Linked DNA regions of Notamacropus eugenii. The protein of the gene in region 3 interacts with the protein of the main gene of each other region in a biochemical or structural test. Links are inferred from orthologs where the notes say so. Each region holds a gene or a part of one and is shown on either strand. Other genes may lie near its edges. The genes, in order: PLAT, THBS1, LRP1 and APBB1.

Region 1 (7,553 bases), on a different chromosome or scaffold from region 3:
TAGATAGATAGATACATACATACATACATACATACATACATACATAGACACATAGATACATAGACACATAGATACATAGAGAGATACATAGATAGAGATACACACACATATCAAGTTAAACCTTCCTCTCTACAGCTTTTGCCCATTGATCCTAGCTAGGTCTGCCCTCTGGGAGCAAACATAGCAAATGGAATTACTCTTCCACAGAATAGTCTTCCAGTACTGGAAGATGGCTATCATATACCCCCTTCAGCCTTCTCTCTTCCAGGTAAAACATCTCCACTTCCTTCAGTCAGTCTTTTTACAGCACGATCTCAAGGTTCTTTGCCATCCTGGTTGGCTACCTAAAATGTCTAGAACTAAATGCAACACCTCGAGTATGGTCTTACTAAGGTGGCATATGGCAGGACTCATCACATCCCTAGTTCTGCATCTCTTAGTTTGACCCCAGATTATACAAGTTTTGTTTTTTTTTAATGCCCATTGCACTAAAAATGCACGCTTGCTACCACTTATTTACTTTTTTCCCTATATAACCCTATTGACTCATACAGAGCTTTACATTCCACTAAAATCCTCAGATTTTATTCAAACAAATTGCTGCCTAGTCATGACACCCTTATTTTGTCCTTGTAGACTTAATTTTCTAAACCTGACTCATCCCAATTAAATGTAATTTTGTTAGATTTGGCCCAATGTTCTAGTGCTTAGCACAGTTCACAGTAGGCACTTAATAAATGTTTATTGACTAATGACTGACTAAACTGCTCTAGCTTCTACAGAGTTTTCTAATGCTTTCCAAGTCTTGTGCTCTTTGAAAATTTCATAAACTTGTTAAGCTTCATTGAAGTCACTGATAAAAATGTGGATCAGCACAGGACCAAGTACTGATCTTGAGGAATAATAACGGAAAGAACATAAGCTTTGCAGTCAGGCAAACTGGGTTCAAATCCTGGCTAGGATATTTACAACCTAGATGACCTTGGACAAGTCACCTATCCATTCTGAGCAGGCTAGAAACTGAAAGCCTTCAGGTAGGGGAAGGGGCCAGATACATTTTTTGGTGGTTGAGGAGAGCAGGCTGGCATTTGGCAGCACGCACCTATTATCAATGAGTGTACCCCAGGGCTTTGTCCTGTGCTTTTTCTCTCTCTACACTCTCTGTCTTGGTGATCACAACATTATCTGTGGATGCAAAGATCATCTCTGTACAGATGACTTCCAAATTTACATATCCAGCCCTCATCACTCTCTCCTGAGTTCCAATATTTCATCAACAACTGTTTGCTGTACATTTCAACCTGATGTTTAATAAATACATTGAATCTAATTATAGAATTAATCTCTTTCTTCAGTTTTCCCCCAGATGTTTGGCCTCATGTAGACTTGACTTTAGCTGATCGTACTTAAACACCAGATGAGAGAGCTGATAGCACTATTATAATCTGCTCAACTAATCAACATTCATTTACTCAGTAAGGCTCCTCTGACCAACAGGAATTTACAAGGTGGTGAGTCAGACTTCCTAAAGTTCTGCAGTGCCTGGCCGTGTCTATGTTTCATGCTCTCGAAGCTGCATCTCTCTATCTCAGATGATACTGCACCACGTCCCAGAGGAGCACAGATCACTTCCACCAAGGCCAGACTTACAAAAGAGAAATTATCTCGAGTATCGAGAGAAACTGGCTCCAGGCATTTGGAGATAAACTGAAATGGCCTAGGGGAGACAGGACTAAGAAGGAGCAGTGTGGGCTAAAGAAAGCTACTATTTGCTTGGGTTAAATTTCTGAGACTCTAAAGCTGGAATCTTTGAAAAGGAAGGCTAGCCCACACCGAAGGGAGGAAAGGTGCTATTTATAATTCAATAGCCAAGGTGTCCTGACTAATGCACCAATAGGAAGCATTTTTTTTAAGCTAAGTGTTCACATATTGATTCAAGACCTTCCAAATGTCTAGATCCTCAGATGCCCCCAAATATCCATGGGAATGGGAGAGTATTCTTCACTGGGTTGAAAATATAAAAAACTATTAGCAGACTATTTCCTTTTCTCCTGTTCCTCTTTTTTTGTTTTTTTTTTCTTTGGAAGAGAATGAATGAAAGACCACATTAGTGGCTTGAGCTGTTATCAAGTAGTCAGGAGACCTCAGCTGGCAGTCCAGATCTACCACCAAGTTAACTGTTTGACCTTAGAACCACTTGAACCACTGTTCTCCTTCATGCTGTTCGCCACCAGTGGTCTGAGGACTGAGGTATGTTTGCCTCCTTTCCTCCTTGGGAGGTTAAGAAAATGAAAGATTACAGGAGTGAAAATCTAGAGAGGCTTATAGGCTTCCAGGGGGTAAGTGCTATATGATTAAAGGCTATTCAGCTTATTTTTTTTTCCACAATTAGAGAGAGAAATCCTTAAAGTACCCTGTCTATCATCATCCAGGTAAGAAAGTTGGAGACAAAAAGGAGGGAACATGAGGAGGAAATCTGGGGAACGAGCCCAGAGGTCTTTGTGTGTACAGATCACTTCTCCTGCCCACCCCTCCACTCCCAACCCCCTCACTCCCCTACCTAGCACACCTCAGCAGGAAACTCCAATCATGCAAAAGAGATGTTCACCTTCCCCCTTTACCTTCCAATTCCTTCTGCTAATTAGGAGACACCCAGCCAGTATCAGGCAGGTAAACTGGCATCATGTTAATGTCCCGGAGGAAGATGACTTCAGGTTCATTAGTCATCAAGTGTTTGCACATCATTTTTGCAAACTGCTTTTCACTTTTTCCTGACTCTGCATATCAGAGGCTTCTTCTCCAAGGGTTATACCTATTAAACTCTCCTACCCATGCCACAGAACTACTGGAAAGTTGTGGACTGGCTTTGTGCTTCTTTCTTCTTTCATCCCTTCTTTCTTCTTTTCTCTCTTTATCTCCCTTCCTTCCTTCCTTCCTAATGTAAACAGCACTCTCTATTACCCCTACTATGGCCCCAACACTGCATTAAGTAAGCCCCAGGGCAAATGGTGAGAGCTGTATGAAAGAGGTCCCACTTCAGCCTCCTTCTATCCACAGTGCAAAGCTAATACTAACTTTCAGAAATCCCTTTATTGTTGGGGTTTCCTCGGGATGCCTAGCAAAGGGAAAAGAGGAGCCCAGCTAACAGACAGTGGATATGTAATACATAAGACCTACCTCTCCTGGTCTCCTGTACCTCTCCAAGGACTTTCTGCCAAGTTCCAGGCTCGTGGCTGAATCTCAGCTCTGAGTTCCCTGAACAGCTCCCGGCTCCTTTAAATTCCAGTGACAGAGGTGGGGTCTGTTGCATGGAGTGGGCGTGTTTCTCCCCTCTAGGAGAATGCCCAGTGGAGAGGCTGGAGAGATGGAGGCAAGCTGGGGCGGGCCTGCTTTTATTGCTAAGGAGGGGGAGGAAGTATGAGATAGCCAACCTAGCCTGCTCTGTCTGGCCTTGGGCCAGTCTGTATTATTCACTGGGTTTGATTTTGTAAAGACACACTTGGATTTCTAAGTAAGTATATAAATAAACAAGTGCTGGGAAGTTTCTTTGTCCAGACCTGGGGTCCCACTGCAGTTACCTGGCCTCCACTGACATGTGGTGGAGGGTTGGACAGGTTTAGGCCCACCAATTCAAGGATAGGATAGCAAGCAAGGCCAGATGGAGCCAAGGGATGAGACCACCGAGAGGAGGGGCAGGCAATGGTCAGATGACAACTGGGAAATGTTGTCCTGCCATAGAGTCATAGACTGGAGGGGACCTTAGAGGTCATCTAGCCCAATCATCTTATTTGGCAGAGGAGGAAACTGATGTCCAGAGGCAGGAAATTACTTGCCCAAGGTTACTCAGAGGGCAGGACCACCCAAGCCTAGTGTTCTTTCCATTACACCACACTGCCAGTCACCTACGACTAAAGCAAGGTCCCCACCCCAAAGTGTCTCCCACCATCTGTCATAGTGCCTAAAATGCCACCCTTTGAGTTATTCTATTTGTTCTTGGCGGCTTTTCAATTTTCCAGAATTTCACATTAAAAATGTGAATACCTCTGGGATTAGGTTATCTGGTTATCAGCCAATACCCTAAAGGGGCCTGTACCAGTACTGGAAAGAGACCATAGTTGTGGGCTCAGGGAGAGGAACCCTGAAAAGAGACATAGGAGAGATAAAAGGATAAAAAAAAATTGTCAACGGCAGACTTCTTTGCCCATTTGGCAAGATCTGCTTGTAAAGAGCCATCATGAAAAGGGGGCACCTTGGAATAGAAGGTGTTTAGCAAGCTGGAGCAGCCATCCGAAGTGAGCTATGATGAGCTTTTCACAGGAGAGAATATTATCTATTAAGTGACTTAACAATTAGCATTTCAGCAATTAGAAGAACTGACCTTCAAGGTCCTTCACAATCTGACCCTTGACCATCATTTTAGCTTTATTTGATAACTCCCCTCCACACCTCTACACTCCAGACAAATTGACCTATTCTCTAATAGCTTCCAGACAAGGTTCATGGTTTTCCCTATGCTCAGAATGCCTTCCCCTCCCCTTCTTCAGTTGCTGAAGATCTACCTATCTTACCAGAACCCAACTTAAATGCACCATGAAGCTAGCAACAACTTTCTGTCTGAGACTCCTCATAGCACCTTATCTTATACTATCATGTTATTTAGAGTATTATGATTGACTCTACAAATCTATAAGTTTGATGAAGGCAGGGACTACATCTCATCTAAAGCTTGTATCTCCCCCTCCAGGGCCTAGCACCGTGCTCACACTCGTAAGTTGTTCATTAAATGTTTGTGCAATTGAATTTACCAGATGCTGCTCATGCAGATCTCCGAGCAGCTCTGTTGGCTAAATCAGGAAAGGGAATTACTCACATTCCAATGAATATGAGATGGTTTTCCCTACCCCCAGCAGAATTCCAGGAGCACTTTAGAATAATACTGAATTATTAGCTACTGGATTAATAGAAATGAATCCTGCTTTTAATTGTGACAAAGAAGGAGAGACGAGAAGAAAAAAATGAAAATTAAGCCTAATTCAATCACAGTCTATGGGAATTTCACTTTTAAAAAACCTTTTTGTGTGTGTGTTATTGCTTACTAGCGAAATTACAGATCTTTTTTAAAAAATTTTTTTTGGGGAATGACAGAGTATGTGGGAGGAAAGCAAAAGTACACAGAAAAGAGGTTAAAAATGATAGGAACCAGGTGTCTACTCTATATGTGATTTGCAGGATGTCGACATAGCCCCTTCCTGGCCTCTGTGACCTTGAAAACAAATCCCCAGTGAGAAAGAATGATTTTTCCAGAGTCAGACAATACATATTTCAAATAATCAAGGATAATTTTATGAACAAGACCAAATAGAATCCTAAGGAGTGCTGGGACAAAGGATAGCTGGCAAGGAAGTGCTCTCTCAAGAGTTCCCAAGTTTGGCACTGTTTCTGTGGTTCCATGACCTTCCTCTCCACAGGTCCCATGAGTCATAGTCTCAGAGCAACATCGTGGGGAACAACTAACAGTGATGGGCCCCAATTATCAATTAAATAGGCAACAGGACATGGCATTAGAAAGGAGAACTAAAATCAGACCCTAATCATCCGAAAAAGAAATGACATCATGTCTACTGCAACCTGAAGGAGAGAAGTGGGTAAACCAAGGGGGCTGAGACAAGGTGGCTTAAGACAGAAAAGGAAGAGGGAAAAGAGCGTTTGACTTCAAAGTTTATGGAGTATATTCTGGTAGTCAATGGTGTTGAGGGGAATGGATCTTTATGGTTCTGAAATCTCCTTAGTATCTTTCTAGCATGGATTTTCCTAAATCTTTATCCAGACCAGTGACAAACAAGGAAGAGGGATCATATTAGATCCTTGAAAACAAAATTAAGACCAATAAGTAGAAGTTACAGTAGGCAGATTTAGACTTCATAAGAAGGAAAACTTTTTAATGATTAGAGTTGTCCAGAAGTGGCAGAATAGGCAGTGTTAAAGGTAGTGAGTTCCTCATCAGTGAAGGTTTTCCAATGGAAGCTGGATGGCCACTTTGTTAGCAAGGATCCTCTCATGAACTTATTTATATTTTCAATATGCACGTCTGCTTCAAGGTGTCAAATCCCCTAAGGCTACTATCTACTGTGTAAAATAATATTGCTTTCTATCTTCCCACCTCTGCTTTTTCCATTCCATTCTTTCCATCCCTGCCAGGTTAATACTTTTCTGATCAGGTTACTCCTGTGTTTAAAACCATTCACGGAACATGATGCTATAGAAAGTACATTAGACTTGGAGTTAGGGAGACCTGGGTTTCATTATTACCTCTGACATTTACTAGTAGCATGTCCATGATCAAATTATTTAAACTTTCTTAACTCTGTGTCTTCATCTTATAAACAGGAGTAATAATACTTCTGATACCTACCTCATAAGATTGGGGGATAACACGTAGGAGGCACTTTGCAAACCTTAAATATAAGTGTCAGGAATTACTATTGTCTACAAATAAAGTTCAAGTCCCTTAATCCCTTTAGGGACTACCATGAGCTGGCACCATCTTTCCCTTTCCTGGTTTATTTCAATCTGCTCTCCTTTAAGTACCTTATTCAGGATTGTGCTGGTAAATGCTTGACAACTGGTTCTCAAAAAAATGTATACAGGGCACACTTTGGGGGTGGGGTAAGTGGGGTTAAGTGACTTGCCCAGGGTTACAAAATTAGTAACTGTCAAGTGTCTGAGGTTGGATTTGAACTCAGGTCCTCCTGACTCCAAAGCTGGTGCTTTCTCCACTATGCTACCTAGCTGTAGCAGGACATACTTTCAAATTTAATTTGTATTATTAACATTTTCTTTATCACTTTCTTAAGTCTATTAAATCAATAAAACGAAATCAAGACTTGGTTTGTAGTGATTTCTAAGGTATTAATCTCACTTTGATATTTTAATAATAATATAATAATAAGATCTAGCACACTCCTGTCTTTGATACAGATGAAACAGGTTGCTCACCATCTTCTGTACACACACCATGCTGTGCCTGCTCTGTGTCTTTGCTCATACCCTCCCAGCTCCTGGAAAATTCTTCCTTCATCTTTGTCTGTTGCAATCCTACCTGTACTTTGAATCCCTGCTCAAATGCTTCCTCCTCTAAGAATACTTCTCTGATTCTACCAGATGGAAATTCCTCCTTCTACCTCAGATGTCATAAACTATTTTGTTATTGTCTTGTGCACTCATCATATATTACACTGATTTTATCTTGTCCTGCAACTCTTCTGAAGTTATTATTCCAATTAGTTTTCTGTTGACTCTCTAGTTCTCTAAGAAAATCATATCATCTGCAAAAAAAAAATAACTTTCTTTCTCTGTCTATATTTAATCCCTAAATTTCTTTTCCTTGTCTTACTGCTATAGTTAGCATTTCTAGTATTGTGTTAAATAGTAGCGGTGATATGGGTCTCCTTGCTTTACTGGAAAGACCTATAATTTTTTCTACCAAATATAATGTTTGCTTTTGGATTTAGATTAAAAACTATTAACACTTAATAAATTAAGGAAAGGTATGT
Region 2 (8,124 bases), on a different chromosome or scaffold from region 3:
TCTCCAAATGGCGATATGTGCCAGTCTCTACAGTTCTAACTTACCAAGGTACAATTTTGTCAGGATGAATATTGCCTATAGGTTATTTTCATATCTTTCCAAGATGTAAAAGAGGAATGTGGTATGAGCAGCTTATGCGCAGCTCCCATTCCAAACCTATCTCACCTGCTCTAAGTGATTTTTATTGTGGCTATTTCTATTTTTAACTTTTTTGCCCTCTTCCCTTCCTGTCTCCCAGCGAAAAAAAGCAGCAAACTTACAGCTTGAACAGCCTTTGTTCCTTAGGATATCTTCTGGGGTGGTTCCGAAGACAAACCTCACATTTTGCAGCACCCCCTGGTGGCAGAGGCAGAACGATAATTAGTGCAAACAAGAAATGTTCACTCATCACCCCAAAAGTTCAAATTTACAGCGTTGCAAATTAAATCATCTTATGGACAAAATAATCATTTTCAATATTAACATGGTGGATAAATTGTCAACATAAATCCCAGTGCCCTCTGCCTGCATTTCAACAACTGCCTCATCTTTAGGATCTTTCAGAGAATTCAGCCCATTTAGGCATTCAGGAGTTAAAATCTTATGGTGAATACCAGAGATGCTATGAAGCAAGGCAGGTAATGGTGCAGGCCAATGTGCCAAAGGGTTAATCGTTGTGGAGGAACAAGCCATGTAAAACCATTCCTTCTAACTCAACACTGTATCTGAGCTTGAGAGTTGCTTTATTAGGGGAGAATAGGGTCAAGTTATTTATGTTGTTACAAACGTCCCACTTTAAAATGCATGTCAGATCTATGTGTAACAGGCCTCTTCTTATCTCAATGGGGAGAAACATAAAGAGATTCAAGAGGCTGGGCAAATAAGATAGATAACTGCATAAGAATACTATATTTAAAAATCATCCCCCACTTGGCAATAACCTACAGGTGGTCTCAACAATTCTCTTGGCAGTGTTAGACAGTTGGAAAATTCTCTTTAGATTAGGAAAAGAAATCTCACCTGAAAATTATCATTGACATCTCCCTTTGCCACACGGAGTCTGGCACTGCCAGCCAGGTCCCTGGTGAAGATGCTTTCAATGGGGGCATCCAGTTCAGCATTCTCCATCTTTTCACAATCTACATACAACTGGGCCCGGTCCTCCTGAACAAACAGGATGATATTCTTCCATTGGCCGGTGGCCAAGAGAGCTTCTTCCACTGATACCACTTGTTGCTTCCCCTGCACTGACATGCTCAGGTCCAGAGTGCCTGCTTTGCCATTGGAAACTAGACTGAAGATATGGCCAGAGTGATTCTTGTACTCCACGGTCATCAGAGTGCCCCGGGTCTTTTTCATCTGCCTCAGGGAGGCCAGGAAGATAAAGCCCTTTTCTGCTCGGATTGCATCCACCAAGTCTTGGAACTTGTTATCTGGCATAGGGGGAATTCGATTGGCATCCTCGATTCGGAAAGCAGGGCTGGAGGTATCAGGACCTTTCACCAGACGGCGCCCAGAGCCCTTGTTGGCAGCACCAGGGAGATCAAAGAGGTCAAACACACTGTTGTCACTCCCAGACTCTATGGAACAGGAGCAGAATATGCAGTTAGTGGTAAATAGGGTGTGCTAGACTTAAGAGTGCCAGGCTCTCAGTTGCCCTACTGTAGCCTTAGTGAACTAAACAGCAAAAGACACAGGATGAAATCCTGGCAGAAGAGTACACAAGCATCTCAGACATCAGGGCTCCCACTCCAGAAAACACTCAACCTTGAGAGGGGTTGAGTATACCCTCTGCTGTGTAGCTATGTTTAATCTGGATATTCAATATTCAGAGTTCTCATTCTTGCCTTCCAGTACCTGCATTTTTTCTTTTCAATATTTTTTTCCAGGCAGACCTAGAGTACCTAGGAACCCTACAAAAGCATTGCCTAAAATGGCCTAGAATTCAACCCCTCCCAATTTCACCCTCTTAACCTCCCCCTGCCGGCTGTGGCAAAGGCTCACCTGAGATCCTGTTGGTGCCACACATTTCCAGAAGCAGTAAGAAGACCAGCCCCCGAACCAGCCCCATGATGGAGCTGTTTGTGCCTAGTATCCAAAGCCTGTAGCAGAGAGAGCACAGTCAGAGTCGGACAGCGAAACTCTGAAGACCTCCCAGAGGGAAGCAGACATAAGAGAAGGGGAAATAGCTAAGGTCGCTGGTGTGGGGGTTGTGGTTGTGGGATGTACAGATTTCCCTGTACTCCCAAAACTTGCTTGAGGGAGAAGTTCTAGACTGTCCAGTCCAAAAAAAAAAAAACGTTATGGAATGGGACAGAAGTGTTCCGAGGCCTGTAGGGGAAACACTAAAACCCTGGGAACTTTTTTTGGAAAAAACTTTGGGATAATGGATCCCTGAGATAAACACACAGAGAGGGAGACATCACTTTGAGAGAGAAGCTGTATAGCCTGGATGACTGTCAAACGACTGAAGAGACCCCACTTTTGAGTATGTTTTGGACGTCCGTGAAATATTGCGACTTCCTTGTGGAGTTGGGGTTCTGAGTCCCATTGTCTCCTGAGGTTGCCCTTGAGTTTCTCAGAGGTGTCTGGGATGCACTCCCAGGGACCCGAGGAAGAAAGGCCATGGGGAAGGGGGGAATGAATTGAATAATCTTGGGGGCAGTTTCTGATGAATGGGATGAGTTCTTGAGGTGTTTCTTTTTCCCCTCAAAGTGGTGGGTGGGAGCATACTGGTGAAATTTTAGTTTGCTGAGAAATCCTCAGAAGGAACAGAGCTGGGTGCCCAGGGTCCCAACAGAGGAGGAAGGCGGCTACGATCTTACCTGTGTGGATTAAGGAGCCGGGACTCTAACGATCCTCCGCTACAGGGATGGGGCCAGGGAGCGCACAGTCCTTTGGTTATCTTCCAAGCGCAGCTGGTGCGCCTAAGTCCTGGGAAGCAAGAGCAGGTCCAGGCTGTGGGAGATCCTCCAGCGGTCCAAAGGAGGCTCCCGGAGGCAGAGGGGCTGCGGAGATGAGGCGGTCGGGACAGGGAGAGCTCCTCAGGGTCAGCTTCAGCTACTTAGCTTCCCCCGGTCCGGTGCAGTGACTGCAGAAGCGGATGAGTCGTGCTCCTTTAAAGGGTCGCGCACATTCCTGAGGACTCCAGCTAGCCAATCGGAAGCGTCCGGGCAGGAAGGGGGCGGGGGAGAGTCTGAGTGGGTTGGCCCCCCCCTCCTCCCCGTCCTCTCTCCCCCCCCCCCTCCCCCGGCGGCCCACTCCCCCCTCCTTCTTCCCCCTCTTCTCCTCCCCGGGCTCCCGCGCCGGGGGCGGGCAGGCTCACCCCTTTCCAGCTAGAAAGTGAAGCCCGGGGTGTCTGGGGAGGAGGGAACCACGCTAACTTCTCTGGAGAGCACATAATAACTCTCTATTGTGTTCTCGGTTCCCCTTGGCTCACAGAATCTCCAATTCAAATCGATTCAGTTCCACAAACCTTTAATAAGCGCCTACAGTATACAAGACACGCATTATAACTTGCCTCGTATACGCGGGGGATCCAGGACTGGATCTCCCTTGTCTGACACCCTGCCAAGAGTGTCCCTAGGTGCGGCTGGCTTTGTGACAGAACGCTGAAATCTAAAGGGGATTGGGGTTAAGGGATCATAGATTTAGGATTGTAAGGAATCTTGAAAACCATCGAGTCCAAGTCCCTCGAGCCCTTGCCCCTCAGATACAAAGAAGGGAGGTGGCTCGTCCAGTCAAAGAAGTAGTAAGTGGTAGTCAAAATATGAACCCAGGCCTTTTGACTTCAAAACCAGGACCCCCTGCACCGCACCACACTGCTTCATGAGGAAGGGGAAGAAGGAGGTGAGGAGGCAAGGAGGGGACAAGGACACTGAGACTATCCCAGTAGTCTCAGTACTGTAGGTGGCTTGGGCCAGTTGGGAAAGAACGGATAACGGGACTTTCTGGGACACTCGTTCTTAGCGTTCAGGTTGCGATCTCCCTGCATGGTGATTCGGCCTGGCTGAACCCCAATTCTCTCAGCACCTACACCTTTCATTTGTAGTTAAAGGTGTTCAGTGGCGCGCCATGCTGAGGGTCTTCCCCTGGGGTGGGAGCTGAGCCTTGACTCCCTGAGCTTCCCTTCCCATTTCCCTGCTAGTTCGGGGAGCGGTTCCTCTCCACTCTCCCCTGAGCCTGGGCTGCTGCGGACTTGACTTTGTGTCCCCGACCCCCTCCTTCCCCCCCCCCCCCCAATAGCCTGAGACAGCACTTTGATCAGTTTCCACTTGGGGGCGGTAAGCGCACTCTTATTAGGGAACCGCAGGAGGACTTTTTCTCTTTCTAGCCAGGAATCTTGAACCAAACTTTCACTTCTCCTTCTTCCCCCGCTCCATCCTACCTCCCCCCGTCTCTGGAAACCAAAATTAAGTTGAATCCTGGAAAAACAGTTTCTTTTGCCTACTCGTGCTTTTAAAACGTGACTCCTGGGTGGATAATTCGCAGAGCTACCTGGCTTCGGGAGTTTAGCCCAGATCCACCAGGTGATCGATGGCTTTTTTCCCCCTGCCTGCTCTTTTACTAGCTCCTTTCATTCTTGGGCTCCCGTAAGTGGGCGTGCGTTGTGACATTTTTGTGGGACCACGATCGGTCGTTAGCATTGTTGTTGCCTCACGTCTCTTTCGGATGGAGACTGGTCTCCAAGAAACTGTCCCAAGCCAGCATGACTCCAGTGGTTTGGAATCCCATTCATCTCTTTTGGCTGGGACGTCAGCAGCGGCGGCGAAGGGGGCAGGAGTCGCTCCTTTGCTGCCTCTCCCTTCTCCGGGCTGTCATTGGGCCCCGGAGCCGAAACGTTGTTAACTGTTCTGGCTCCAACATACACACAGACACAGGTAAGCCAGCCTTCACCAAATAAGGATCTGAAAAACAGGGCAGTACAAATCCAGGGCCTCCATCTCTGCCGCCTCCTCATTGACACCAGGTCAAATTAGTAACTGCTGGAAGTATCCATTTTTCACATTAATCACAGCGCAGATTTCACTTTCCTGAGTAGGAGGGTTCTGAGGCAAGCTGGACTGATGGCTCTCCAGTTACACAATTTGGAGAACAAACACCAGTCCGAGAGACAACAAATGTCGGCAACACATTTGTGTGGTTGTCTGAATCGTTAACTGAACTTGCTGGCCCGATGGGTTTCAGATTTTCAGAAGCTAAAATATGAGATTCTGAATGGGCTAGGATACCCCTAATGGCAGTTGAATAAGAATTCACCTGAACAGTCCTGAGACTTGTGTGGAACTTCATTTCTTTCTTTGGAAACTAAAGCAGACTACTCAGGCCACTTTTTGGTGACTGGCTTCTAATACCTCATGACACCTGATTTTGAGGAAAGATGATTTTAGGTTGTAGGGATGGTTAGCTAGTGACTTGCCCCTGATCCATAGCATCTTCCGATGGTAATTCTATAACACTGGAGGAGGACTTTACAAGTATCCCCCTGCTGTCCACTAAATCTTCCTCACCCTTGCCTTAAGAAATTGGCTTGGGGATGGGAATTGGCAATCCCCAAGTAGTCCAAGTTAAAAAAAATTCTCAGGAGATTATATATGTGTGTATGTATATGTCTATCTATATACATATATTGATATATTTCCTAGAGAATATTTTATATATATACATATACACACACATTCTGGAGAATATTTTGTTACATTTATGTGTCCTCAAGGATACACACACACATAACATCCTATAGACTATACATACACACACACATATATATCATATATTAGTATGTTAATATAGTATAATTTCTGTCAAGTTGTTCTTATAACTCTCTAAATGAATTCCTCATATTGTTGACATTGAACTTCCAACTTCAATTTATATAAAAGGTCTCTTGGAAGAGTTATTTCATGTCCTAGTTTTCAAAATACAAACTTTAAGGCTGACATAAATAAGATTATCTATCTCTATCTATCTATCTATCTATCTATCTATCTATCTATCTATCTATCTATCTCTCTAATCTATCTATCCTGACTCTGTCTAGATTTTTACTAGGAAACTTAAATATCCATTTGGTTCAGCCCTCAAGCTCCCTACTTACTACTTGCATGACTCTGGGAAAATCCTTTACATCTAGATAGATAGTAGATAGCAGTTATATTTAACTATAATGACTTAAAGGTGTCATGCGACTTTTCTTAGCTCTCAGTGTCCATAGCAAAATCAAGGTAATAATTTATATCCTCTAAATGTTTCACAAAGAATGAGTGTTGTGTAGCTGAAAAAGTATTTGGTTTAGAGTCAAAAGATTCCAAAAGCGAGTGAATTTCAACCTCACCTCTATCTCTTACTACCTATAGGATTTAGAGTAAAACACCTAACCTTTCTAGTGCTCTGTAAAATGAGGGGGTTGGATTACATCATCTTAGTTGTATTATTTCAAGCCCCAAACATCTCGTCAATAGTTAATGATTTTTTTATTTCAATGGAAGAGAAAAACCAGAGGGTTGTATACTGATGCCAGGAGCTCCCCCAAATTCTTGTTCGCCCAAGGCCATTGAGTATTTCCCAGAAACCCCATATACAGTTTTGGACAAACAGTAGTGAAAAAAGAAGTGAGAATCTGGTGTATGTTACTCTTGGGAAACAATTCACTGTATCCTCTGTGAGGTTTTGGCCTGTCAGGCAAATGAATTGAAATGAACACGAATGAGGGGCCCTTCCAGCAAAAGAAAGGATCAGGCTTTTTCTGGGCTGTCATGGCCCTAAGTTATTACTTAGCATAACCCACAACTAACAGAATTACAAAGTAAATGACATTTTCATCATGAAGTTTCTTTTTTTAAGTTTCCCTATTTGGAGGTGGAGTTGACATAAGAACTCTGCTGCCAGTAAAGAAAGGAAGGAAAAAGGACTGTCAGTTAAAGTTAGTTTTAAATTTGCATGTGAGTTAGGATGGCAAGATACTGAAGTTAAAAATATGTATATTTTTAATTCCCCAAATGCCCAAACATTCCGAGGTTTTGTTAAGGATTTTTTAAATGCCTGAGATTTTCACTCTTCAAAAATTCTTCGAAGTGATCATCAACCAGAATTTTTGTGTGCCATAATTATGCAAAAACCACAGCCTCTAAGAAATAGTAGTCTAGTGAATTCATTCCTCTGTTGACTATTGCTACTTCCTTCTTCCTACTTAATGGTTCAGCCCGACCGGCTCAGACTGAGAGCCAGGTTTTTCTGTGTCTTACTCATTCTTCAAGGCCCAATTCAAGTTGGTCAGTGAATAAGAATTGATTAAAGCTGCTTTCCTCATGAAGCTTTCCATATGCTGCTTTCCTCATGACTTCAGACTGAAGCTCATCTCCCCTCTTTCAGACATTCCCCTGGAGTCTGTGCCACACACGAAGCTGCTGGCTTTGTGTTGCCTTCTATCGACCCAAGTCTGAATCTGCAATTCGCTACCTATAGGTGACCTTGGATAAATCACTTTAAACTTTCCAAGATCGTTTTTATGTCTGTAAAAATGAGGATATTAATACCTGTGCCTCACAGCATAATAGAGGGAAAAGAGCACTAAACTTTAAGTCTCTTGGCCTGTGTGTGAATCCTAGCTTTGCCAGGATTTACACTAAGGGGACTTGAATATACATTTGGTTGCTTTTTTACACTCTCTGTGGGCAACTCAGTGGCCCCGTGATAGAGTACTGGACCTAGAGTCAAGAAGATTCATCTGAGTTCAAATCTAACCCCAGACAATTACTAGCTGTGCCACCCTGGGCAAGTCACTGTATTAGCAACCATAGTAGCACACAGGGTGGGCTGCTACCACAGGTTCTTTGATCTGCACTGATCTTACTTTAATCAAACAATGTAGACAGATAAGAAAGGAGTATCTAAGGGCTCCAACTGTCTGAACAGATAATAGATACCTAATCACCAGACCAGGGAACACCAACATCTGGGTTCTTAAAGTTAGGGGACTCCTTAACAATGACTACCCAGAGTCTCATCTCTGTAATCTTATCTCTCCCTTTTCATGAGGGAGCCCCCAAAGCAAAATATCAACCTCTCAGAATATACAACAAAGTCTCAGCCCCTGATTGACTCAGAGCCAGAAGGCATGAAATCTATGTGACTCAGCACAGCTCT
Region 3 (7,573 bases):
CTCCCATATACCTCAAGGATTCCCCAAAAGCAAATCATTGAGACCACCTTCTGAACACTTCCACTCATGATTCAGGGGACAGGGGTCAGGGCTCAGTGACCTAGAAATTAGACTCCATCTCCACTGAAGGTAGAGGCTGAGAAGATGTTTAGATATGAAAGAAAATTTCCCAAAAGTGAGGGGCACATGTACGTTCGGGATGGCGATTCCCTGCCCCAGTTTGACATAGGCGTGAGGTGGAGGTAGGAGTACTAGAAGACAGCTCTTGATGAGTTATGGTCTGGGCTCAGGGCTGGGGGTGGACAAGGAGAAGAGGGAGATAATGTGGGGAAGGTAGAGATGGGGTACAGTATAGAATAAACACAGGGTGGTGGAGGAGGAACTCCAATCAACATTTCCCTCAGCTACTCTGTTGATTCAGAGAGGAGGAGAACCTCCTCCTAACCCTCATGTCAAGAAGTGTCTAAGGAGGAAAACTGAGGCACAGAGCCAAAACAACATGGACTTTTAAGGTGACAATCCAAAAGTTTTCCCCCTAATAACAATGTGAATTTATATATCACTTCAGAGTTTACAAACCACTTTTTCCCCAAGAGCCCTGTGAGGTAGATAGTGCAAGTGTTATTATCACTATTTTACAAGTGAGGAAACTGAGGTCTGAAAAAGTGAAATAATTTGCCCATAGTTACATAGCTGACTTCATCATACTTCGTTCACCTCTCCTTCCATATTACAACTGCTTCTCTCATCTCATTCTTTTGGGCACAGTCTGAGATAATGGAATTTGAGGAGGGGGCAGTATTGGAGAAAAGGAATGGTCAGGGAGAACAGTTTCTAAACTTCGATCAGAGTTGAACGTCTCTGTAACACATACCTCCTCTCCCCCCCCCCCCCCCCCCAACGCTCCAGAGCGGGTAGCCAAAGCCAGCATTAGAGCCCTTGAACACAGAACAGCTGTGTCACTTTCTCATCCCATTGTGAAACTCCAGCTGGGCCCCTGAACACATCTCAGGATGTTTTGTGTTCCCCATAGTGGCCCCTCCAGCCTCTTAACACCCCCAACCAAATTGTTTTCCTCTTCTTGTCTTGACTTTTCTGATTCTTCCTAATCTTTCCCAGAACCAGGTGTCCCAATTCCCTCTGCCTCAGCTTCCCAGCATTCAAACCTCCTCATTGAAGGAAAAAAAGTTAAATATAATTATTTGGGGGGTACAGCAGGCAGATATAGGCTGCTTTGGAAAGAGATGAGGGCAGAGATTCTCCCTTCTTCTAAACTGGGCAATTTCTGTTTTTGTTTTCCTCCTAGCCCAAAGAAGGAGAGTTCTGAAGGATGGTATAATTGAGGAAGGGGGCATTGAATATTCCCCCTCTCTATGTGGGTTCCCTGCTCCCCAAACTTCTCCTCTCCTCTCCTGCCTCACTCTTAACCAAAGTAAGAGGGTCTTTGATTCCCATTGAGGTCAGGGGGAGGGGGACAGGGCAGTTGGATTTCTGAGAAAAACTTTCCCAACCCCAAACTTGGCAAAGTTTTGGAGATTGGAAGTGGGGGTGGAGGTGTGGTGGGCCTGAGGAGGGAGGGTCATTTCTTGCTGTGGGCAGAGTATGGAGCCCCCTGGGGGAAAAGGGTGGTGAGACACCCCACATACACTCAATCAGTGGGGCTCAGTTCTGCCCAGCCCAACCCCCAACCTATCCGTCCCTATTCTTGACTTAAGACAAGACTTGAACCCATGACTCAGGGTTAAATAGGAAAAGTTGCCAAAAGGGAGGAAAGGAGAGGGAACAAGAGGCCACCCCCAGTTCCCTAAAGCACATAGAGTTCCGGCTAGAGCTGATGTCTGCATTATGCAAAGGGAGAAGGGGGAGGGGGGGAGAAATTAAAAACAAATTCACTTAAGTTGCAGAACAGAAAACAGCAGCGGCATACTCCCCCTTCCTCCCATCCCTAAACTCTCCTAGTCCAAAGTGTGAAGGTACCAGAAAAGCATTCCGTGCCCCCACCTCAGTGATCCAAACCCGACTCCCAGCCCCTCTCCTCACTGATGACGTCTGACGTTTCATCCCAAACCTCCAGAAATTAAGAAGAGAAACTCGAAGTAACGTAATAACCCCCCACCCCTCCCACCTCTATCCCCATACAGCTCCACTCAACCCCGGCTACAGATAGAGGCCCACAAAAGGGGGAGTGTAGAAAGAAAGATGTGGAACCCTGGAGGCCTAGGCTAGAACCCAGTCCTTCTAGAACCCATTCCCTCCACCCCTGCTCCAGGGCCCAGTCCATCTTTTAGTACACAAGTCCTCTTCCTCTCCTCACACCTCTGCCCAATGTGGGCACCAAGGAAAAGCACTTCCCCCTTTGGCTTTCTCCCTCTACGCATTAGAAACGCACTGCAGACCCCCGCCCGAGCAGTTCTCCCCCCCCCCTTTGCAGATGTTTAATGCAAATCCAGATTCCTTCACAATTCAGATAGGGATGGGGGGGGGGGGGCCGGGACACGTCCTCCGCTAGAAATAGAGACAGCATAGGCCTCGCTTCATCTTCGGTGGCACTAAGCGGGCGCCGGGTCTGCCCCCCAAGCCAGTCTTTGTCTGAACTGGGGGGGTCCGGGAAGCATCTTCCACCCAGGCTCCCCACCCCCAGCCAACCCAGACCCCTGCTCCCAGCCCCCAGCCGGGGCGCTGCTGTGTCAGCTGGACCCGGATAACAAAAGGCCCCCCCACTCCGCGACTCCCTCCCCTTTCTGCAGTAAGAGGTGGGGACTGGGGAGGGGGCGTCCTCGGGGGAGGGGGGAGGGTGGGGGGACTCTCACTCACCATCCATCGCCGCTGTGGCCAGAGCCAAAGCCAGCGGCAGCAGCAGCAGCGGGCTCAGCATGGTGGTGCGGGGCCGGTGCAAACAGCCCCCTCCTCCGCAATCGGGCTCCTTCTTGACTGTGCCCCCCTTCATGGGGGTCCCCCGTTTTCCTCCCCGCCTTTATTTTTGTCTTTTCTTTCCGCAAAGCCCAGCGAGCTCTGGGATCGGAGGAGGGGGGTAGTGAGAAGGCAATAGTTAAGGGCCCCTCTGCTGGAGCTGGCTGGCGGGGAGGATGCGCCCCCAAATCGAACACCTCGAGGTCCCCCCTCCCTCCTCTTCTCTTGGCTCTCCCCTCGCCTAGGGCTTAGCTCAGAGCCCCATCTCGGAGCCGCCTCCGGCTGCAAAAATGCACAATTGGGAGGAGGCGGGGGGGGATGGGGGGGCGTGGACGGGGTGGGGGAGCCTAGGAAGGGGGGTCCTTCGCAGCTTTAGAAGAGCTGGAGGGTTCCCCTCTTTTCCTCCTCAGTGCAAGGGCCCTGAGCTCGCGCCTGTGCTCCCGGGATGGAGGTGGCGCGGGGGGGGGCGGGGGGAGGGAAGGGGGGAGTGGGAGGTAGGGAGCAGAGGGAGGGGGCGGGGAGGGGGAAGGGGCGGGGAGAAAAAAGAGGGGGAGAGCTAGCTACGCGGCAAATGTCCTGGTGCGCATGCGCGCCGTTCTCGCCCTCACCCTCCAGAAGAGGGGGAGAAGGAGGAGTGGCAGGGCCGAGGGGCTTGGAAAGCGGTTCCAGAGAGGCGGTGCCATGGACCCGCGGGCCAAGACACAGAATCATAGGATTGAAGCTAGAAGGGACATTCACTCCAGCTCGGTCACTTTACGGATGGGGAAACTGAGGCCCGGACATTTCTGTGACTTGTCAATGATCAAACTGATCACAGAGCCGGGATTCGAACCCGACTACAAACCCCTTCGCTCTTTCCCCACATCCAACTTCGCTCTAAGATCGCCGTCACTCCCCCCTCCCCTCCATCACCTCCCGTCTGCGTCTTCCAGAGCTGAGGGGATAGATGGGCAGGGTGTGGGGCTACAGGATTTCAGCCCCGTCCTGGGTTCTAGATTCTCCTCTCTGGACTTGGGCCTGTACCCTTCTGTAAGCTTGACCCTATCCCTGTCCTCCTCTTCCAACCCCCCCTTCCACATACACACGCCGCCCCCCCTCCCTCCCCCCCAATCCCTGGCCCGTAGAGAGCTGGGGAAGAGATGCCAGTCAGTGGGGAAGGCACTGGGAGAAGTTGAGCATTGATTTGGAGGCTCTGGGAAAAGTGGAAGGGGATTGGCTCTCGGGGCAAAGGGGGCGGGCCGGAACCGCCCAGGCCCCGCCCCACCTCCCTAGCTCTCGGCTTCCCAGTAAACAGGGACATTTGCCGGGACTCGACTGAACTTGTACTTTCGCCTTGGGTTAAGGACTAGAGCCCACCTTAGTGCCCGTCCCTCCCCGCCCCCGTCCCCCTTAGCCCACCCACCCCTCCTTTCCTTGGCGCAGGGCAGGTTTGGGGGCGAGCTGTTTGGAAGGGAGTGAGTCACTGGATGGGTGGGGCGGGCAGCGCCCCCGCCTCCCCCGGGGAGGTCAGAGGCATTTGTTGTGGTTGTTTTTGTTTTGAAAATGTCTGTGTTTGGGGCTTTTCCCACCTCCCAGGTGACTTCGGAAATGAAAGCTAGGGACCAGAGCTCTAACTCTCTGGGTTCTAGATTCACAAGAAAAAAGGTTTGTAATTGGCAAGTGGGAGGGGGGGAGATTCTGAGGATCGGTCTGGGATTTCTAGGTTTACTGGATTTCCATCCCTGAGTGCCCAGCCGTGGTCCCAGGTTCCGAGTCTTTTGCAATAGACGTCCCTCGAGCTCCGGGCTTTTGGGAATGTGCGTCTCGCCATTGCCCCCTTCTGGTCTGTCTTTTCGCCTTACATTATGGAGAGGGTCGAGTGGTAATGAAGAGCCTCCAGAAAAAGAGTGAGGAATGCCCTGCCAGATGTTGAAACTATGAAGCCAGTTGTTGGATGTTTGAGCAAAGAAAGCACAGCAGATACAAAGGGAAGAGTTAGGACCAATGAGTGGCAGTCGGATATGGGGAAAATTTTTCCAACTGTTAGAAATAACCAAAAAGCAGAATAGATTGATTAATGGCGTTGTTTCCTAGTCTAGAAATGTCTCATCTCCCCGGTCCATCCTTCTCACAGATGCCAACATAAAGACACATGCTTAAAACCTTAAGTGGCTCCCTGTTACTTCTAGGTTAAAATATACAGGAAGGAAATAAATATTTTATTAAGGGCCAGGTGACTATGTGCTAATCACCTTACACATATTTCGTTTGATCTTTACAACAACCTTAAGAAGAATTTGCTAGTATTATGGCCAATTTAAAATTGAGGAGACTGAGGTAGACAGGTGAAATCACTAGCCCAGAGTCACGCAGTGTGATGAGATTGAATTTGTTTTTTTTTACTAAGGTCTGGTAGTATTTAAGGATGTGCACAATTAGACTCTAACCTAGCCCACCAACCTTTTTTTTTTTTTAAATTCTTTTCAAAATTAGGAACTTAGTAATGAACAAACAAACATTTTCATGTACAAATTACAAGAACAAAAAGAGAAGATAATATATGAAAAGGGACATCTCTATCCTCTTTTATGCACATTATTGAAGTTCTGGGACAGTTAGCTGTTCCTCAGATTTTGAAGGGTATCTGCTGCCTCTGCACTCCCTCAGGTCATCCCCCGAGGGCTGAAATTCAGTCTTTCCTTAGCTCTGCCTTTCCTTATCCTCCTTTAAGGCTCAGTTCCTGTTTTCTCCATGAAGCCTTCCCAGATCTTCCTTAAGCCATTAGTGCTCCTTCTTCTTTTTCTAACAATCTTTACATGCTTGGAGCTATTTTTTGTCCTTTCACTTTCTATCTGAGGAAACATTTGTTTCTTCCTTCTTTCTATCTGTGAATATGTCATATACTTCCAGCTCCTTGATGATGGGAACTTTCATTTTCGTCTTTGTAGGTTCAGTATGTCCAACTATACTTTGCATTTAGTAGAAGTTTAAAATTTCCCCTCCTGATTGTGCTTCTAATTGTCCTGATTTTGTTCCCGTTCTTGGGTTACCTTCTCACTCCAGAACTTCCCTATGCCATGATGGCTTTCTTCTCCTCCTGGTATGTTTCCTTCCTGGGCCTTCATTTTGGGGAAGGTCCCAGATGGATCCTAAAGCTAAGTGCTTTATTCTTCTCTGGACTCCAGTGTTCTCATACCTTCTTTTCTTTCCCCCTCTTCCACTTTCAAGTTCCCTTTTATGTGTTGGTCCCATAAGCTCCTTGAGGGCAGGGAATATCTTTCTTTTTACTTGTATATGTATGTTTATCACTTAGCACAGTACCTGGCAAATAATGTTTTATTTGTGTGCTTGATAAATTTTTGTTGCTTTCCTACCTGCCTGCATGGAACTATATTTAAACAGAAGCTGGTTGACTGCCTGTTGAAGATGAATACAGCATCTTTGCTTCAGGATTGGACTAGATGACCTTTGAGGACCTGTCTACTTCTCATATAATATGATTCTATGAACCTCTTCCCCCATCAAACTCCAGGAGAGCAAGGTCTTGTACACCCAATGGGGACCACTATAGAATTCCTATAGGAGCATTTGAGGAGATTGACTCTTTTCTGAACCTTTGAAACTGAGAAGAATCAAAGCACTTTTAAAAATTGAGCTTAGCATTGTTTATCCAGAATATTTCTCTCTTGGCTCTCTCTGTGGTGTACTGTCTACCACCTTTCTTCCATGATTCTGATCTAGAAAGCTAGTTGCCTTTGTCTGCTTTCTCTTTTTTTTTTAACCTCCTATATTGACATAGTGTGGGAGTTTCCTTGGTTGGGGACTAGAAGGACTTTCTCCTTTTGTTCAGTTTCTGCATGCCATCGTAAGTCTCAATAGCCTCCTCAAAATCCACGTGGTGACTCTCCCTGCTTCCTGGTATACATATGCTTTGCCCCACTAAATATGGGCATAATTGTTTCTATTGGAAAGTAGCTGTTGTGATGAGATTGTACATCCCTAGTACTCTGCCAGTGGGGAAGCGGATAAGGAGTGGGGATAGGGAACTTGTGTTAGGGCTATAAAAATCTGCTTCCCTCCACCAGTGAGCACACTCCCTGGCTACCACTGATTGAGTGACAAGGGCTGTGCCTTTTCTCGTGAGAAAGAATAAAGACCTTCTCTGATCTCCAATTCAGACTCCGATCTTTATTGTGGTGGTGATCTCTGTCCCATACAGTTTTGGGAGCTCGTCCGGGATACCCTCAAAGGAGGAGGGGGTCCTTCTAACCCAGACCTACTGGCAGAAGGTCCCACCGAAGTTTAGTAGGAGGCCCTCAGTCAGGTTTGGGAGTGACCCTCCTCTGGTGGGAAAGGATCTGAAAGAAGACTGAAGCTGAGAGCAGAAAGTGATCGAAAGGGGGATGAGAAACACTCTCGGGATCAGTTGATCACGTAAGTCTGTGCACAGACCCAGGTGAGCCTTTTTGATTTTGAAACCCAGGGTGGTCGAATAGGGCAACACAGGAAGAACTAGTCCTATTGAGTCTGTAAGATTGAGGGGTCTGAGAAACTCTTGAGGGGTCTGAGAAACTCTGGGCAAGAAATAGGGAGCCTATTGCAGGTTAGTCTTGTTGAGTCTGCAGGATTGAGGAATCTGAGAAATCTTGGACAAGAAATTGAGAGTCTGTTGCCTGGAAACAGA
Region 4 (7,373 bases), on a different chromosome or scaffold from region 3:
CCCCAAAATATAAATATTTCTCTTCAAATCCTCTCTCTCTGACCTCCCTGGTTTCCAGCTACATTACTCTGGGTTTTTAGTTTTACTCTTCCTGGCCAAGTCTCAAGTCATACCTCCCTTGAATGTTAGTCACTCGCTGCTAGCCAAACCTTTGGTGGCTCTGTTCCTAGTCTCCAGTCACTGACTGCGTCTTGGCCTGATCTCAAGTTAATCCACTCTTTTTCTACCCAGCCTTTTATATCTTCCATTAAAAATGGGGCTTGCTAAAAGCCACTCAGCTTGCACACAGGCTTCTGGGAGATATGGTTCCCAAAAATAAAGCAAGGCATCTGTCCCATGGGTTGAACCCTCTACATTCTTTTCCCCTCAAAAAATCGCACTAGATACATGGATACATCTGAGTATATAGCATAAGTATTAATTAATTGGTAAATAACACAGTCACAGGTAATCATCCCAAATATACAGGCTATATGTGGGTACATAGTATGAAACATACATTTTAGAATTATATAGGATGGTCTAGTCATATAATTTACATGCAGAAATACAACATATAGAACTACATGTGGCATAGAGTATCAAACATTAAGACTACATACAGATTGCATGTAACATACGCTTCATCATCAGTCATCTTCTGAATACAGTAAACCAAAGATGGAAGTTCCTGGTAAAAGTGTGGACAGGACAATGCCTGACACACGGTAACTGTTTAAGAAATGCTAGTTGACTGTTGGGGAAGGGGATGCCTTGGAATCATGAACAACTGAGGATGGTATTGCTTTTGCCAGTCATTCTCTCGTATTCGCTCATAGTCTCTCTTGGTCTCTTACCAGGAAAGCTTTAAATAATCATCAGCTCCTGGACAGCAGTAAATAAATTTAATAGTAATTTCTGAACAGTCCCATCACAGTTACATCTTTTGGGAAACTGGCATGATTGACAATATCAAGCAGTTTCTATAATGCTGCTACAGCTCCTTTGTCACATATTGAGTTTTCCCTGAGATTCCTCCCAAGTAACTACATATTGCATGTGTAAAGCCGCATCATTTGTATTATCATCACAGTTAAGGAGGAATTCCTTGAACCAACAGTCTCCATTCAAGGTCCAGAGCTATTATCATACATCACTTTTCCAATAAACCAATTAGCCAATTATTTAACCCAGTGTCCTGATAGGAAAGGCACATTATACAATTATTTCCATGTTTATATTCATTGGCATATTGTCTTCCTAGATCTTCTTATTTCACTCTACATCAATTGATATTTTCTAATGCTTTTCTGAATTTTTCATATTATTATTATTTCTTTTAGCTTAGTATTCCATGACATTTATGTACCACAATATGTTTAGCCATTCCTTAATTTATGGCCATCCGTTTTGTTCTAGTCCTTTGCTATCACCAAAAAAAAAAAAAAAGAAATGTTGCTCTGAATATTTCGGTTTATGTGGTACTTTCTTTCAATACTTGACCTCCTTAGGGTTTATGCCTAGCAGAGGATCTCTGGGTCAAAGGACATTCTAGTCACTTTTTGTTCCCTTGCATAATTGCCCCTAGTTAGAGCAGCTAGATGGTGCAGTGGATAGAGCACTGGACCTGGAGTTAGGAAGACCTAAGTTCAGGAAGCCCCAGACACTTAACTAACTGTGTGGCCCTGGGCAAGTCACTTAACCTCTGTTGGCCTTAGTTTCCTTATTTGTAAAATGGAGATAATAATATTGTGAGATAATAATAATAATATGGAGATAATAATATCTCAAATGAGATAATTGTAAAGCACTTAGCACAGTACCTGGCATATAGTAAATGCTATAGAAATGTTAGCTATTTATCATCATCATCATCATCATTATTTTTATTTCCCAAATGCTTTCCGGAGTGGTTGAACCAATTCACAGCTCCAACAGTATATCAATGTACTTGTCTTTCCTTCATCCTTCTAACATTGGACATTCACATTTTTTTTTATCATATTGGCAAATTTGCTCATTGTAAATCCAGCAACTCTGGATAGAGCCTCAGTTGTTTTGATTTATTTGCATTTTAATTATGACTGGTGATTCAGAGCAATCTATTATATGGTTGCTGATATTTTGCAGTTCTCCTGAAAATTGTTCAAATTCTTTGATTATATAGCCATTGAGGAATGACTCTTAACCTTATGTATTAGTCTGTATATATTCTGTGTGTGTGAATATATATAGAGAGACATATATATATGCATATGCATTGCAGACCTTTGTCAGATATTTGATGCAAAGATTTTTCCTCAGTTGACAGTCTCCATCTTTATCCTAGTTGTACTGATTTTGCTCATAAAAAACTATTCAACTTCATATAATCAAAAGTATCGATTTGATCTTTTTATTTAATTAAGAGCTGTTCCCCAGTTATAGCTATAAAAGGTATCTGATCTCATTCTCTTCTTTTTTGCATGTGTTGCAATCTTTAATATTCATGTCACATATCCATTTTGAGCTTATTATAGTATATGGTGTAATGCATTGGTCTAAACCTAATTTCTTCCAACAATAACAATTCAATGATATCCCTCCAGCAAATAGCAACTTCAATATGGCAATATAATTATTTTAAATCAATGGTTTGGCTTAGAAAAGTCACATCAAAAAAACGTTGCTGTCTGTTCACAGCATGGTAGGAAGGGAGGAAGAGAATTACAAAAAGAAAAATCTTTAATTTATCCTTATAATGCTACAGCATCCCAAACCCATAGGAGATCATCTCGCATATATTCAAATCCCTGGGATCTTTTTCTATAGTGTGGCCCCTTCTCCACTTCCTTCCACCCATTCCCCAGGCCTATGATATGCTTTCTCTAATCATTACAAGCCTTGTTAAGGTTATAGTCTATTTAATCCTAAAACTAAAAAAGCCCCACTGATGTTTGTTTGTTTTGTTTTTTTAACTAAATCAAATCTTACGACTGCAAATTCAAAGTCAAAGCACTTAATGAAATAGCGATAATGTGGAATTAAATCAGATATTAAACTCCCCAGCAGTCATTGCTAAATGGCTGTGATCCCCATTCTTCCACAAGTATTACTTAAGGGATCAATAATCATACTCACAATTAACCCTCCAGTCTCCTCAGCACAGTTGGAGGGTGATACTGCCTGAAAGTCAGTATTGACGAGTACAATCAGGTCACCCCACAAGCATACTTCTCATTAGAGTACTTGACTCTCTCTTAGTCCCTTAGTGGCTTCCATTCTTGCCACTGTGTCAGGTCTCACTGATCCACATTTCTGGTTGGTCGTTCTTGTCTTGGTTTCCAGTTGCTTCATCCATAAGATTCCTATTAACTGTTTAAAACCAGACTTACTAGAGCTGCTCATCTAGCACACAGGCTTTCAGGGAATGTAATTCCCCAAATTAAGATATGATTCCTATTTCCTGGGCTCACCTCTTTGCAGCATTATCATAATACTTATCTTTATCCATTTCCTATTTTTCATTATCAATAGCTTGTTTGAATAGGAACTATTGTAATGAATAATTTGTACTGTTGTAATTATAATGAAAGCTAAAATTTATATAGCACTTTAAGGTTTGCAAAGTACTTTACAAACATTATTTCATTTTATCCTCACAAAACTTTGAGAAGTGAAGATATTATCCCTATTTTACAGATGAAAAGCCTGAGGTTAACAGAGATTTAAGTGACTACTTGCCCAAGGTCACATAGCTAGTAAGTAGTTAAAGCCAAATTTGAATTCAGGTATTGCTGACTCCAAGTCCAGTACTGTATCTACTTATGCTATCTAGCTACCTCTTATCCATGTAATACTTTCTATAAGTCTTCATTTTATCATTTGTTGAGTGATGGTGATTCCTTTTATTTGTGTGTCAGATGGGATATGATGGTTCTCTTCCAACATTCACATGGAGGAGGGATTGAACTTCCTGTCTGGCCCCAGAGGTTAGAACCAGAAGCAATGGGCTGAAGTTAAGAAGAAGCCACTTTAGGTCTGATACCAAGAAAACTTCCTACCAGTTAGAGCTGACCCAAAGTGGAGTGGGCTGTCTAGAAAGGCAGTGAATTCTCATTCCTGGGGAGGTCTTTATACAGAGATTGGAAGACAACATATTGAGTATGTTATAATAAGGTATTCTTTTGGTATGTGGATTAGACTAGGTTACCTCTCAAATTCTGTTCAGGCCCTCATTATCTCTAGACTGGTCTACTGTGGTAGTTTCCTAACTGGTTTTCCACTCACTCTTCTCTCTAACATAACCTTCACAAAAGTGCTAAAATAATCTTCCTATTCCTTTTCTTTTTAGCTTTTGAGTTCCTGGCCTCCCCCCCACCCCCCACCATAGCCTATACTATACAGTACAACCACCTTAACCTGATGTTCAAGTTTCTCTGCAGTGTAACTCCAACCTGCTTTTCCAGGTCTTATGTCATACTACTCCAATTCACATAACCTGTGGTACAGCCCAACTGGAGTACTTTCTTTCTCTCTCTCTTTCTCTCTCTCTCTCTCTCTCTCTCTCTCTCTCTCTCTCTCTCTCTCTCTCCCTCCCTCCTCTCTCCCATCTCAGTGTTTTTTCCTGGAAGGGACTGTTTCCCCAGCTCCGTCTATTAAAGTCAACCCCTTTCTTTGAGTCTCAATTCATGAAATCTCCTTCATGAAACATTCTTTGATTCTCACTCCCACGCCAGAATATACAATAATCTCTCTCTCTCCTTAAGTTTCTCATAATACTTTGCCTGGATAGCTTTTTTACACATATCACTTTATCTCTGTTATCACTAAGTTATATGTACATTTATCCTTCACCCCACTACATCTGTAAGGTCCTTCAGAGTAGGGTCTATAGAATGGAAACAGCCCTGACTTTGGAGACAGAGGACTTTTCAAATCCTGTCTGCCTTTCAAATCTGTGTGACTTAGGGTAAATGACTTAAATTCTCTGGGCCTCAGTCCTATAAAATGAAGGGGCTGGACAAGATGCCTCTGAAGTCTCTTCCAACTCTTCATCTATGATCCTATGAAAGAAGAGAAGAGTAAAGAAAGGGGAGGGGAATAAACATTTATTAATTGCCTACTATGTGCCAGGCGATATGCTAAGCACTGTCCAGATACTGTCACTGAAAGGGTCTTTGTCACAGCTATCTTTGTATCCCCAGCATCAAACATATATTAGGTGCTTAAAACAATGTTTGTTAATTTTAATGGAATGAAATTGAGAGTACTAGAGTTAAGTTGGCACTTAGATAAGTGACAGAGTGCCAAGAACCTAGACTCCTCAGGGACTGGTGAATTTTTTAATGGTCTGGAGGAGGGAGTGCACAGCAAGTTATGTGGATACCAGGCATGAAAAATTTTTTTTTTACATATGAAGTAATGCAAAGCATATTTCTACATTAATCATGTTGCAAAAGAAAACACATGTGCACATGCATGCGTACACACACAAGAATAAATTGAAAAAAGTATGCTTGAATCTGCACTCAGAGTTTATTAGTTCTCTTTCTGGAGGTGGATAGCATTTTTCCTCATGGATCCTTTGGATTGTCTTGGATCAGTCTTGATCAGAGTAGCTAAGTCTTTGACAGTTGATCACCATTATAATATTGTTATTACTGTATACAATGTTCTCCTGATTCTGCTCACTTCACTCTGCCTCAGTTCGTATAAATCTTCACAGGTTTTTCTGAAACCATTCCCATGGGCATTTCTTATAGCACAAGAGTAGTTTCACCCCAATCAATTAACCACAGTCTGTTCAGTCATTTCCCAACTGATGGGCATCCCTTCAATCTCCAGTCCTTTGCCACCACAAAAAGAGCTGCCCTAAATATTTTTGTACAAATAAGTCCTTTTCCCTTTCAGGCAAGAAGAATTTTTTTTAACACAATTGCAATGAACATTCTTAGTTCTCTAGCCAGAGCTGAGCAGGTTAGGAAAGAGGATGAGACTTGTATCTGGTCCTCCTTCCACTATCCTCTGTCCTTCACTACTAGGAAAGAAGGGTGCTAATATGACTGTTACTATGGAGTCTATAGAGGGAACAAGACTATGTTCAGGTATGGAAAGGAGAGCCAAGGAAAGGCAAATAGGAAAGTGAAATAGGAAAGTGTCTTCTGGGGATGATTTTTTTGAGGGAGAAATCTTTTTCAAAAGCAAGTTTGAGGGTGATTGAAGTTAAAAGAATACTGGACATTAGATATAAGGGCCTTCTACAGCGGTGTGGCCATGGAGAAATCTTTTCCACTGTTTAGGCCTCAGTTTCACTATCTATAAAATGTGGGCTTAACTGCTCTCTTATATCCTTGCCAGCTCTGATATTCTATGGTTCTGTGTTATATTGTCAAGAATTTTGGAAAGCTGCATCTCATCTCAACCTTCCTGTTTCTGTTAAGGGTGCCATCATTCTTCCAGTCATCCAAATTCATAATTTTAGAGTCATCCTCAACTCCCCAGTCTCCTCCACACTTTTTCTACCAGTTTCCAAGGCTTGTGGATTCTATAGGTACACCAGTATTTGTATTCACTTGCCTTCTCTGTTCATATAGCCACCATTCCAGTTCAGGCCTTCATCACCTCTCACTTAGACTATTACAACATTGGTCTTCCATCCAGAAGTCTCTCCCCTCTCCAGTGCATTCTCCATACAGCTGCCAAAGTGATTTTCTTAAAGCACAAGACTGAGCAAGTCACTATACTACTCAATGAACTCTGTTGTACTTAGTACAGTACTTGGCACATTTTAGGTAATTTATAGATATATCTTTATCTCTCTCTCTCTCTCTCTCCCTTTCCCTCGCTTCCTTTATTGCCCTTAGGATAAAACAAAAACTCCTTTGTCATTTAAAGTCTTTCTTAACCTGACTCCAACTTATCTTTCAAGTTTCATCACATATTACTTTCCTCCACGCAATCTATGATCCAGCCAAACTGGCCTCTCTGCTGTTCTTCACACTTGACATTCCCTATCCCATTTCCTTGTCTTTGCATAGATTGGCTTATTCCTTCCTCACTTCCACTTCTTAGAATTTCTATTTTCCTTCAAATTTATGCCCAAATACCAGCTTCTACATTAGGCTTTTCCTGTTTCTTCTAGCTACTGGAGCTTTCCCCAACCTCCTCCCAAAATAACCTTTAATTAATTTTGCATTTGTTTTATTTATACTTATGTGGCTTCATGTCTCTCCCACCCTGCCCCTGCCCAATAGAATGTAAGCTCCTTATTTCATTTTTGTTTTTTTGTCCCCAACTCCCAGCGCTATTTACTTGGCACATAGTAGATGCTTAATAAATGCTGATTGGTTGGTTGACAAGTCAAGTCAATAAGTATTTATTAACCTCTTATTATGTTCCAGGTACTGTTCTAC

Evidence for each region.
Region 1: the proteins of LRP1 (region 3) and PLAT form a complex in vitro, tested with the Homo sapiens proteins (2 studies listed by BioGRID). The link is inferred for Notamacropus eugenii from reciprocal best matches to the Homo sapiens genes LRP1 and PLAT.
Region 2: the proteins of LRP1 (region 3) and THBS1 form a complex in vitro, tested with the Homo sapiens proteins (3 studies listed by BioGRID). The link is inferred for Notamacropus eugenii from reciprocal best matches to the Homo sapiens genes LRP1 and THBS1.
Region 4: the proteins of LRP1 (region 3) and APBB1 form a complex in vitro, tested with the Homo sapiens proteins (2 studies listed by BioGRID and IntAct, with this or other methods). The link is inferred for Notamacropus eugenii from reciprocal best matches to the Homo sapiens genes LRP1 and APBB1.

The regions. Positions count from the first base shown.
Region 1 is NC_092872.1:618,371,980-618,379,532, reverse strand, and holds the start of PLAT (tissue-type plasminogen activator), read right to left. Parts: upstream 3,367-7,553; 5' UTR 3,178-3,366; intron 1-3,177. UniProt on the Homo sapiens protein: Converts the abundant, but inactive, zymogen plasminogen to plasmin by hydrolyzing a single Arg-Val bond in plasminogen.
Region 2 is NC_092878.1:25,267,252-25,275,375, reverse strand, and holds the start of THBS1 (thrombospondin-1), read right to left. Parts: upstream 3,079-8,124; 5' UTR 2,805-3,078; intron 2,082-2,804; 5' UTR 2,051-2,081; coding exon 1,984-2,050; intron 1,560-1,983; coding exon 1,000-1,559; intron 337-999; coding exon 261-336; intron 1-260. UniProt on the Homo sapiens protein: Adhesive glycoprotein that mediates cell-to-cell and cell-to-matrix interactions.
Region 3 is NC_092874.1:232,525,231-232,532,803, reverse strand, and holds the start of LRP1 (prolow-density lipoprotein receptor-related protein 1), read right to left. Parts: upstream 3,372-7,573; 5' UTR 2,948-3,371; coding exon 2,815-2,947; intron 1-2,814. UniProt on the Homo sapiens protein: Endocytic receptor involved in endocytosis and in phagocytosis of apoptotic cells. Required for early embryonic development. Involved in cellular lipid homeostasis.
Region 4 is NC_092876.1:89,154,394-89,161,766, reverse strand, and holds the start of APBB1 (amyloid beta precursor protein binding family B member 1), read right to left. Parts: upstream 3,192-7,373; 5' UTR 3,100-3,191; intron 1-3,099. UniProt on the Homo sapiens protein: Transcription coregulator that can have both coactivator and corepressor functions. Adapter protein that forms a transcriptionally active complex with the gamma-secretase-derived amyloid precursor protein (APP) intracellular domain.